Linked DNA regions of Oryzias latipes. The main gene of each other region encodes a partner of the protein of the gene in region 3 in a complex. Links are inferred from orthologs where the notes say so. Each region holds a gene or a part of one and is shown on either strand. Other genes may lie near its edges. The genes, in order: ctnna1, cadherin-like protein 26 and ctnnd1.

Region 1 (3,651 bases), about 5.7 Mb from region 3:
TTTAAGACGTGGTAGATAAAAAAAATAATCAATTCAAAAGGACATTAATAAAAACGGAATTCTCTAAACAATAACAGAATTAAATCCCGTGTGTTTTAGCAGCGTCTTTGTAGAATTACAAAGCAGTGTAACAAAATGTGCTGAATCCTCTTGCTCCCCTTCTTTGTGAGAGCTGCAGCTTTAATGTCAATGATGTATAGCAATAATTATAAACATTTGATTATTTTTAGTTTTTTTTATATGACTTAATATAAAATGTGATCACCTGGAGGCAGAATTAGGAAATCTATCGTGAATTTCTCTGATTTTGAGTTCACAGTTAGATGACAATTACTTTTGTGCATTTTCTTAAATAATTTTACTGGCATTTCTGTGTAAAATAGAGTTACAATAATTTGGCCGGTAAATAAATATGTTTGGCTGGTAGTAACGCGCACTGCAAATTGTGCAGAAGACATGTTCCTTCTAAAACTGGAAATACCACCTGAAGCAGAGCCACCAAGCATGCTCAATCTTAGACTGAATAAAAAACAATGATTCTCCGGCAAAACAAAGGTAAGACCAGCACAGCAGCAACAGTCTAAACAAGCTTATTCAAAGGATGTTGACAAAAATGTTTGTCAGTATAGAAAATAACTATACTATTTTAAACTGACCAGTAGCAGGTTTTATGAAAACCATTGAAAATGAGTTCTTCTACTCAGACTGCAGATTCTGTTTGTATTGAACCCACTGCAGTTTGCTAATCAGGAGCAGGTGGGTGTGGACAATGCTCTGCTTTACTTGTAGCACCAGACTTTGTACCATCTGGGTCAGAACTGTTTTGTGGAAGTGAGGTTTGTAGACCGTATCCGATAATTTTTTAAGTGTTTTATAAAAAGCTTTGAGGGTTTTTTTTCTGTGTGGTTGCTACAATCCTTAGAATGTCTCTATGGAGAATAATGTATATATCTTCCATTTGATAAGATATTCTTAACTACCGTACAGTTTTCTTAAGTCAAGAAGAAAACAAAGCTTGGATTAGATTGATTAATAAACCTGTGCAACATCCTAAATACGACAAGCGAAAAACAACCTACACTTAGTTTCTGTAAAAGCAGTTGGAGTTAAAAGTAAGAAGACGTCATCTCCCAGACAGCCACAGTCCCAGATATGTCAAGGTGCTTCACAAGTATTCACTTTTCCTCCTTCAATTGTCTGTTTGCAGTGCATCTATAGAGTCTAAGCTATGGGAAACTGCAATTCCACTATTAGGTTACAATAATCCGTCCACTGAACATGGGTAAAATTATGAAAGTACAGGAACTAACATCTTTCCTTAGGTATTTAAGTGGTGTGTGGTTAGAACAATTAACAAAGATTTTTTTTATTTTTGTGTCAAATACAATCTTATTAAAATATCAAATACCAGTTTGTTTGCTCACGCCATTGCTAAGCATTGTTGAAGTTAAAAAAAAATATTAAAACAGGCAATGATTGCACATTGAGGTATTTTACAAGCCAAAGCTACAACAGTTTGTGCAAATGATGAAGAATATGTACCACAGACACACTACCCCGAGGCTGTTATTCCCCCCATGAAGAAAATCAATAAGGCCATTCTCATGAGGGCAGATAGCGATCAGTACGCCTTTAATAAACTTTCATCTATCCATCGCTCCCTGAGCGATGCAGCCCAAAGTGTGCATGATAAAATGATTAAAATGTATATGACACAAATAACCTTACAGAAGATTTGACAAGGTAGAGACAGAGAGGAAGGGCAAGGCGAGGGTCAGCAAGGACATGGGTAAGCAGAAATGGCTGCTTAAAGGCATGGAAATTTCTCAGCTTCACTAAGCAGCATTTATAAACATGGTAAATTGTTGAAACAACCACGAAATAGAAAATCTGCTAATAGAGAGATTTTAAAAAATATATATACAATAAACAGTCATCTGATTTATGTGAAATATCTTTTCTTCCCATTTTAAAAAGTCTGTAAGCCATAGCTCCATGCAATGGTGGGAGTGGGAACGTTACCAAAGTCGATGGCTGTATTTTAAGTCTCATCATGCTCCACTGAGCAGCATGGCATAGTTGACAGCCAGGCCTAGGCACTAGCTAACAGTCACTGAATTCCAACACAGTGACAGCTTATCACAACTACATTAACATACCTGGTCACTGAACAAGCCACATGCTATGTAGCAACACGTCTGCTTCCTCCCAACTATCTAGAGTGGAGGATATCTAACTTACTAGACATCAGCAGACTAAAAACTATTCACAGTAGAAGATTTCTAACTCAGTAAAAAAAAAAAAAATCAGCAGGAAATAGAAATGATAGTGACACAGCCATCAAAACCACCCAAGTCATGGCTTCTGGGCCTCAACCCTGCTTACATGTCAAAACACAGCAACTGCAGGGTGGGAAAAGGAATAAATTAGAATATTTTCTGGTTGTGAGATGATGGAATGACTGCAATTGTGCTGCTGACCATGTTGGACTATTAGCTTTATAAATGTGTAATAAAACTGAACAGAAACAGACTAAGTGGGTTGACTCACTTAAAAAAAGCAAGCTATTAAAAATTTTTCTCAGTTCACAAAGTGTTGCTTCAATCTCTGAGGATTGTAACAGGGATAGGTTGAAGAACCATTCCAATCATCTTTTGATATCTTGTAACAGAGTTCCCATTGATCTTTTAATTATGATAGTGACGTTTTTAGCCCCCCCAAAAAAATCCTGTGTCATTTCCTAGAAACTGGCCACAACAGTCAGTTGTGGCCAGGACTGTTGACGCTGAGTAACCCTGCGTTCATTTCCCAATCTCCCATTGCTTTTGCTTACATTCTCTCCCACTTGTTTACAGCCCCTCACAAACCCAACCTTGCAACGATTGACAATTTGAGTAAAGAAATCCTCAGAAATGCTGTTTTAATCTTAATGTTATTTTTATATATCCTCCTTTATGAGAAAAAGTCTGCAAGAACATTTTAAAAAACACGATTTTCATTGGAGTGGGTCTTTAAGCATCACATCTGCCACAAAAATTGTTTATGCATTACTAACTTAGCGAGGATTGGTGGGACAAATCTTTCAATTGTAGTAAAAGTTAAATCTAACTGAGAAACCTCTGAAATATATACAAGCTTTAGTCCCACACTAGAATTAGCAAATGCAGTCACATTTTGTGTGTATAACACTCTCGTTTTACATAACTGTTAGTTTAGGGGCAAGTTACTAAATGTCTGCATGTATTAATGAAAAGTCATTAAATGCTCTTCATAAAAACCTCAAAGCAGAAATGGATATTAATAAATTAGGAGTTGATTTTGTCCAATAAATACCCTTATTTCAAAGTTTTGCACTGGGGAAAATGATAAGTACACAGACCATGACTTATTAATTATCTATTCCATTTACAGAAGCGCTCTAAACAAAACAGAAACCGCACACTGCAGCAATGCGTCTTTTTTAATATACCTTGCTTACGGACATCCTCCACTGCAGCCGTCAGCTCATCCTTGAGGAACTGGCTTTCCTTTGCAATCTTCTCTCCTTTCTCAAGGAAGTTCTGAGTTGCAGTCTCCACTGAAGCAGCCAAAACATGAGCCTTTTTAGAGCGCCCCTTCTTCTTGTTAGATGGACCTTTATTACTGGAATTT
Region 2 (4,191 bases), on a different chromosome or scaffold from region 3:
GGGTCAAATGCGGAGAACAAATTTCCAGTATGATAAAATAAAAAGTAAAATAAGCTCAGACCATAAATGAATAAACCCCAGAGAAAAGATTCTGATAGGGGTAAAGGGACCAGACCACGTCTAAGCACAGTTCTTGGTGGAGAACAGAGTCAAAGTTGTTTCTAAAAGCAAAAGACAGTGTTGAAAAACAGACAGGAGCTCAGTAGAATTTCTCATACTGAGAGCTGAAAACAGACAGCAGTTCTGTGGATGCCTGTCTGACCTCCCATTTTATTTAGAATCGGTTGCCCTGGTTACAGAAAAAAATAATGAATCTAAGAGATGCAAGGTTAGTAGTTGACAATACACTTGTTTAAACTTCTTGCTGCAGAAATGGGAGTAGTAGGTCACAGTTTCTGAATCTTATCAGTTTGTATTCCAAACTCCTGCTTTTTCAGACGTCTCCTTCCTCCAGATGGTATGTGGAGAAGAAGAAAAATCCAGACACAGCAGCCTTTAATGTATAGGTCAACAGAGTTCAAAAAGCAGTCTTAAAAATCAGAAGTTAGAATGATAATTAATAAAATAAAGTGCATACATCCAACAGGAAGTAAACAACCAGTAATTAAAAGCAAAACTAGTTTTTGATTGCCTGCGAAGAAAAGTGAGCAACTAACCTTTGTGTTCAGATGAAAGCATAATGACGAGCAGCATGTAGAGTATCATAACAGCATCAAAGATTTCCCACAAATCAAGTAAATCTTCCTTATTTACACTGCACCAAAGCTTCAAGTCCATCAGTACGTTTTGTGTGACAAAACTGAACTTTTGGTCCTAGAACTGCAAAAGTCATTAAAAAACAAAGTTATGATCTTTCATATTTCTACATACTCTATGTGAAACTTAGTTTTTATGATGAACACAGAGATGAGATGCTGGAAATAGTATATGGGGTTTAGACTAATTAGATTACATTGAATAGCACCATGGGAAACACCTCTCACAGGACACTAGTGTACTGCGGCACACAGTTTTTTAAACTAACAACCAAGAAAACACTTAAGTGAAAGAATACCAGTCCTCACACTTTACCGTACTGTAAATGGTTTCTGCTATTTTAATAAAATTGATTTTTTTTTTCTACAGGTTTCATTTGCAGCTTTAGCTGGATGCCTTTGTTCCCGGGACTCTCGTAAAAAACGGGTAAAGTGGTAAAAAGTTTGAAAGGCAACCCCGAATGGAAAAAGTTTATAAACATTAATCTCCAATTTTCCCTTTCCAGGATCTCTTGGTGCGGACTAAAAGAGTATGGGTTCTGTCTACATTTGAACTTTACGAAGAACTGAATGTGACTTACCCTTACTTTCTTGCAAGGGTAAAACAAAGTCATCTAAAAAAATTTGCTTTATTAAATAAATATCAAGTTACTGATTAGTTATGTAAAAACCTTAATCAGACTTTGCGTATGTTTCTCTTAGATGTACAATAACAAGGTAGAAGGGAAAGAATTCAGGTTTGAGATAAGCGGAGAAGCAGTGGATCTGGGATATTTGACCATTAATGAAACATCTGGAGACGTTTATGTCAACAAACGTATTGACAGAGAGATAATAAATGTCCCCTTTTTCCATGTGAGTAAATATGATATAAGATATTTATTTGGATATGAAATCATTCAATGTAGCTCCAGAAAATTGATTACCCCTTTGTTTTTACCCAAAGGTCGTCTTTGATGTGTACGACACAGAGACCGCCCAAAAAATTGACAAGGAACTAGCGTTTAATGTGGTAATAAAGGACATCAATGACAATCCCCCAAAGTTTACCGAAATTCCTGAGGCTGTTACTGTGGATGAAAACCAAGAGGAAGGTGGGTTTACTTAAAAATATAGGACATTGTTGAAACCAAGTAGGCTACCAGCTTTATACCCAGCTGGGATATTTCTTTAAACCCATTGATAATTGTTTTTTCCTGAAATAATTTTGTTTTGCTTCTGTTTATTCTGTTAGGCTTACTGGAGGTGCAAGTGATTGCTCAAGACATGGATGAAAGAAATACAATAAATTCCAGATTTAACATCAGTGTGATTGCACAGCATCCACCAGAGCCTAAGATTCAGACCAAATGGATTGATGAAAGAATTGTGCATCTTAACTTTACTGGATGTTTTAACTATGAAGTAAAGCCAGTTTTTTATGTGTTTTTCTTTATACTTTGCTTCAGTTTCTTTAAAACTATTTTCTTTGTTCCAGAAAGAAAACAAGTACAGTGTTACTCTTCAAGCAAAGGATCATGGAGACCCTCCATTGTCCTCCACTGCTGAGATTACGATAAATATTGTTGACAGAAACACAAATATGCCAGTGTTCAAGGAGAGAGAGGTAAGAGGAGCTTATATTTAATAGTCATTGCTTTACTCTCTAAAGTCACTTTTAATGAAAAAAAATGTTTCAATTTTGCTTGTTTTAGTACCAAACTAAAGCCTCAGAAATGGAGACCCATGATGACCTTCTGAGATTGGCAGTAGAGGACAAAGACACTCCCAACACTGATGGATGGCGTGCAAAGTACTTCTTCATCAGCGGGAATGAGGAAGACATCTTTAAGCTTGAAACAGACCCAATAACAAATGAGGGTATTTTGAGCATCATTAAGGTAACTCCATTTGCTCTCAATAAATCTGAATGTTTTTAAAATGATTTACACAAATGATAAACACAAAAGGTTCATTTTTGATTATTCTTGATTTGTGTGTCTTTTGCAGGAAAAGAATTATGAAAAAAACAGTTGGGTCGACTTGCAGGTTGGGGTAGAAAACATTGAACCCTTTTCTAAGTGTGAAAACGGGAAATTGATTAAACAGGGAAGCAAACTTTATCCTCCAGACTCAGTCAGTGTCAAAGTTCTAATGGTTGATAGCAATGACCCACCAGAGTTTCAGAAAACTAAAGTAGATTTGTTTGAGAAAGAAGAGTCTGAACCAGGAAAGGTTCTCTTCACCCCAGAGGTTCATGATCCAGACTCTACTTCCTTCAGGTAAAGTGTCTGCATTCTGTCCAGAAACTGAACATCTTGCTTGTCTGCATAAAGTTTGAACACTAATTTATCCAACTGTTTCCAGGTTTGTACTTGTAGAAGATCCAGCTAACTGGGTTTCTGTTGATGAAAAAACTGGAGAAATTAGAGCAACTAAGAAGATGGACAGAGAATCACCCTTCGTGGATGCTGACAATGTTTACAAAGTCGTCATTGCTGCCATAGATGATGGTACTGAAACAAACTTGAAACAAAATCTAAAATCCTTTGTTTATCTGATTCTGTTTTTTTTTCTTGTTGTCATGGCTTTGAAGGTGATCCTCCAGCCTCAAGTTCTTGCACCATCAGTATCCACCTGAGGGACACCAATGACCACAAGCCACAGCTGGTCAACAACAGCATCATCATGTGTGGAAATATGAGCAATAAAATGATGCTTTCTGTGATTGACTTGGATGCTGATCCATATAGTGGACCATTTCATTTCTCACTTGATAATGATGACAATAAAAAGCAATGGAAACTAGATCCATATTATGGTATGTACACATCTGTTAATCCATATGACTAAACACGTGCATAAAACAGCAACATATCTGTCTTTGCATGTTTCACCAGGTCAGCAAGGTGGCCTTATCAACCTGAAACCACTTTCCTATGGAAACTATTCTATATCACTGGTGATTGAAGACCAGCAGAACAATATTGGACGTGAGACACTGGAAGTGGTTGTGTGTGACTGTGAGAATAATACATGTCATGTAAAAAAGGCACTTTCATTTCACCTTGGAGTACCTGCCATATACTCAATGATTGCTGGACTACTTTTGTTTTTAAGTGAGTACATATATCACCAAATATTTTAACTGTATCTGAGGATAAATCGTGAGAACTTATTAACATTTTACAATAAGACAGTAACATTTAGGCAAAAAATATCAATAATTAACTGCATAGAAAAAAAAAATAAAACAACATAAATGTTTTAGTTAAAGTGCACTAGGAAATAAAGAAATGTATCTGTTAGCAGAGCAATGACTAAACTGAGTAATTTTTACTTTATTTTGCCTTTTTTAAGCAACCTTTACACTTTCTACAAAGCTTATTTTTAAATAAAAAAACTATTGAAAAATAATCATTTATCATTGCTTTTTGTGAATATTTCCCGCTTTAAC
Region 3 (4,100 bases):
TGATTTTATTTAGCAAATCCCTAGTGAAAGACTTAAGTCTGTTCTGTTTTAAAACATTAGAGCTATAATTTCAATTACTTAGAATCATTGTTAAGAATCCCACAACCAGCATAGCTTCTTTGCTATTATGGATATCAATTAAGTCTTTAAAAGGTCTTTGTCAGATTTGACAAACTAGACTTTAAAACTATAAGCTTAATTGTGATTTAAAGATTAAAAGAAAATCGTGAATTGGTTCTAAATACGTATTTTTGGGGTTGAACTTTCTTTAAAACTTAACTGACACGCCTGTGTTCGTTGAAAGTGAAGCTTGCAACACCACATTTGTAAACTGCTGCCGCACATTCTTGATGAAAAATCTGTGACGCAAAAATACTGTAAGTTGTTGCTCATCTTTTTGAGTTTTGGTAAAGTAAATCAGCTGGGGATGGGTTTATTAACACTTCTACTGAATGACAACTGCTTGAAAAACACAGATTCCTGATTCAAACATTAGGCTACAAAACTTAGCTGCAAATCTTTAAACTTTAGATAAAAGTAAAGCTTCCCGTATAAGATAGATTCATATTTTCTGAATGACTAAGTTTTTAAAAATTAAAAACCTAATTTATTTGTTTAAATACTATGAGGTTCCGTTTGTGCCCAAAATATTTTATTGTTTTAATCACCATATATTCCAAGTGAGCAGTATTGTTGATTATATTTATGCCTTCTTCCTATTACAAAAGCACTTCGGGGGGAGCTCATACGGAAGCTGGGGGGAATTCCTGGCATTGTTCCTCTTTCCATGTTTGTATGTCCACGCTGATGCCTTGTTTTTCAAGTTCACATTTCTTTTTCTTCGATTTTTACCCCAAAATCTTGAAAATGAAAAAAGACCTTCACAGCCAATTCTAGACTGACATGTTAAAAAAAAAAAAAAAGCAAAAACAGTGCTTGAGCAATAAATAATTTGCCAAAACAAGGTATGTTACATTTTTGGTAAGAAATATAAATGTTAAGAAAATGTGAAGGATCTGATTAACCTTATTTTGGGGGAATTCATTCATGTAAAAAAGCTGAAGTACTCCCACCCACGTGAGACTATCTATTGCCCCTTGGCCATTCTTATTGAGCAATCACAGACGTGACATCGTGAAGGGAGGGACACGCGGAAGGTGATATTGCGACATAATTTAAATCCCCGGCAGACTAGAGGTGTAGCTCAGTTTGTCCATTAAAACTATTTATACAAAAAATAAAAACTGCGCAAAAAGCAGAACTCTGTGGTGTCTGTAACCACCAACCTGCTGGTTTTTTGTGGGAGCGCAGTGCTTTACGGTAAAGCTGCTTGTTGATCCCACCCTCCCTTTGATAGAAACTCGGTGATATCTCACCTCTTTAAGCTAGGAGACGGGAAGAGGCAGAAAACACCTAAAACTGGGTAGTCTGAGTGAGGTCGGGTGCAGGATTTCCTCAACCAGGTGAGCCAATTCTTGGATTTTTACCGATGATTTGTCGCGCGCGTGGATTTTCTTTGAAGATTGCCGGGACACTCTGCAGTTCTAAGGAGTGGTCATGTATTCCGACAGATCAGCACGAATCTTTTATGCTAATAAAAGCTAGCGCACAAGTTCAGACCCTGATTTGTTCCTTCGTCACCAGCCGTGCTCATTCCAAATATTATTAGGCCTTTGACGCCATCGTGTATACCGAGAGAAAAAGGTCCACGTTGCCCTGAAAATGTCGCGTTTTTGAACCCTTCATTGCTGTTTGATCATCTGTGTTTGCTTTGCTAGCGCTAGCCCCGCTGTCGGGAGCGTTTTCGTGGTAGTTTTATTGTGATGCTAACGACTCGGGACAGTCAAACCAGGTCAGACGGAGCTAGCTTCCAGCCCAACTGGGTTGATTTGATCCATTTTAGCCGAGCTCTTGCGTTAGCACCACCACCGAGGAACTCTCTTGCGACAGCCTTTGTTCGAAATGAGCTCTTTTATATCAAAGGTTCATGTCTGGTGTGCGCTTGAACTTGTTTTTCTAGCTAACTTTCCTCGCGGCTGGTGACCTATATTCCCGTCTTCTGCCTACTAATCATTCACAAGGCTGTGTGGGATGCCGTTAGACGAAGGAAATGCTAACTAGTTGTAGCATTTTCCAAGCGGTGTTTGGGATACACGGACTGGTAAAATGACCTCACCCAGCAGCAGCTAGCTAGTCTCTGGGAGCGTTTCTATGTACTGGTACACGATTATTAAGTACGATAAGTACGTTTATTCTACTAATTTAGTGTTTCTTTTTTTCTCTTTTTTTAAATATATTTTTGGGTGTTTGCGCAGCCGACTTTACTTCAGTATTTGAAGTACATGTTTTGTGAAAAGTGTGCGGGTGCCTGTGTGTGTGTGTGTGTGTGTGTGTGTGTGTGTTTGTTGTATGTACGTAACATCCAGGCTCAATACTTTTGTGTATTTAATTCCACCGTCAGCGCGGTGGTCTCTCATTTGTGGTCTGCTAGTCTGGGATTATGGCTTTGTCAGACGGAACCTGTTGGGTGGGTCATGTGTAAACTTGTTTTGTTGGGAAAATGCTTGGGTGGGGACAACTGTCAGCTTCAGCCTGAACTAACAGACTGGCGTTTTCCTTCGTAAACACCGACTACACGCAGGCTTATAATTCCTCGCGTCGATAGGCCTTCCTTTGGCTTTAGTGGCGTCTGGTGGATGTTTAAAGAGGATGTGTTTGAACTATAGGTGTGACCGGTTCAGGTTTGTGGTGGAGGGGATCCTGGTAACACCACATGTCGGCTGTTCTGGAGGATCTGTGCTCTCTAGCCATTGTTTGGATGTTGACAAATGATCCCACCACCCACTGTAATTTGGTCTGCTTTTTCACACACTTCAGGTTTTTTAATAGACACACTTCAGGTTTTTTAATAGACTCAAACAAGTGGATGTAGGTCCATTTATTTCTATTTTTTTTTTATAAAGCATCCTTGTTAAAGACCCACACAATCATCTTTTGATCTATTGTAAAAGCATTCCCAGTGGTCTTTTAATTATGATTAATGCTTTTTTTAGCTAAAATCAAAAACCCTGTGTAATTTTCTATGACATAGTTTCTGCAGATCGGCAGGAGTTCATTCGAAATTCACCTCTGAGTTGTGGGCAGGATTGCCCACCTCCTGTCATCCACCTGTTTGCACTGTCTGCCGCTAGCTCACAGACCCAACCTAACATTACCGGTGCAGCAAAAATAGGGATCAATATTGGAGCTATCCAGCCGTACAGTTTTGAGACGGATGGCAGCTTGTATGAGGAAAACGAAGACATTCATGGATCTAGTCGTCTACGAGTGGATGCACCAGAATGGAGCAGAGCAGGGAGTTTGTTGCTTACCGTTGTAGGTGCTACATCACACCCATAAGCATGTTTTTTTCAATGGCATATTTTTGGTCTGCTCCGGATTCATCACGATTTGATAAAAAAAATACAAATAGTACGTGCAATTTTCCACTTAATTTTCTTTATATATGTCCTCTACAGGACAAAAATGCAACAAGAACATGTTCAAAACACCACAAACAGCACTTCCATTGGTGTGGATTTTTAAAATCTATTTTAAAGTGTTAGAAGGTAAATTAATTAGTGGGGTAAGTCCTCAGTACAACCAACACTCTGCTTTGGTATCAAATAATCTTAACATCAAACTACACTATTAACTAGCTGGAAATATGTGAATACCTGGCCAACATCGAACATGTTTTTTTCTGTCTGTCGCTCTGTTAGGCAGAGTTTAATTAAGCCTACAAAGGATTTATTGTTGGTTTGTTCTGATGATCAGAGTGAGTGAGTCATGCTGACTGATGGCTGCTGAATCAGATGGGCTTGTGATGTGACTTGTGGCGAGTCAGAGTTCAGTCAGATGTTGCTGACCGCAGAAGACTCGTCCCTTTGAACTGCCATTGGGTTTTGGAGTCTTTCACTGTGGGGGTTTTCTAATTATGTTACTTTTAAAATACACTGCCATTTTCTATTTATTGTTTTAAGAAACTGTTGCTTGTAGAATAGATTTGTTTGAACTGCTCAGCTTTAGCAAAAATGAATATAGATATACAAATTGTAGTT

Evidence for each region.
Region 1: ctnnd1 (region 3) and ctnna1 share a complex: the UniProt entries of both Homo sapiens proteins name them as parts of the cadherin:catenin adhesion complex. The link is inferred for Oryzias latipes from reciprocal best matches to the Homo sapiens genes CTNND1 and CTNNA1.
Region 2: ctnnd1 (region 3) and cadherin-like protein 26 share a complex: the UniProt entries of both Homo sapiens proteins name them as parts of the cadherin:catenin adhesion complex. The link is inferred for Oryzias latipes from reciprocal best matches to the Homo sapiens genes CTNND1 and CDH26.

Annotation. Positions count from the first base shown.
Region 1 is NC_019868.2:19,904,469-19,908,119, reverse strand, and holds part of ctnna1 (catenin alpha-1), read right to left. Parts: coding exon 3,470-3,651; intron 1-3,469. UniProt on the Homo sapiens protein: Associates with the cytoplasmic domain of a variety of cadherins. The association of catenins to cadherins produces a complex which is linked to the actin filament network, and which seems to be of primary importance for cadherins cell-adhesion properties.
Region 2 is NC_019865.2:18,096,729-18,100,919, forward strand, and holds the start of cadherin-like protein 26, read left to right. Parts: upstream 1-1,244; 5' UTR 1,245-1,354; intron 1,355-1,457; coding exon 1,458-1,610; intron 1,611-1,701; coding exon 1,702-1,849; intron 1,850-1,989; coding exon 1,990-2,159; intron 2,160-2,232; coding exon 2,233-2,361; intron 2,362-2,449; coding exon 2,450-2,635; intron 2,636-2,744; coding exon 2,745-3,016; intron 3,017-3,101; coding exon 3,102-3,247; intron 3,248-3,330; coding exon 3,331-3,555; intron 3,556-3,634; coding exon 3,635-3,853; intron 3,854-4,191. UniProt on the Homo sapiens protein: Cadherins are calcium-dependent cell adhesion proteins. They preferentially interact with themselves in a homophilic manner in connecting cells; cadherins may thus contribute to the sorting of heterogeneous cell types.
Region 3 is NC_019868.2:14,176,713-14,180,812, forward strand, and holds the start of ctnnd1 (catenin delta-1), read left to right. Parts: upstream 1-1,176; 5' UTR 1,177-1,320; exon of another isoform or gene 1,321-1,385; 5' UTR 1,386-1,463; intron 1,464-4,100. UniProt on the Homo sapiens protein: Key regulator of cell-cell adhesion that associates with and regulates the cell adhesion properties of both C-, E- and N-cadherins, being critical for their surface stability.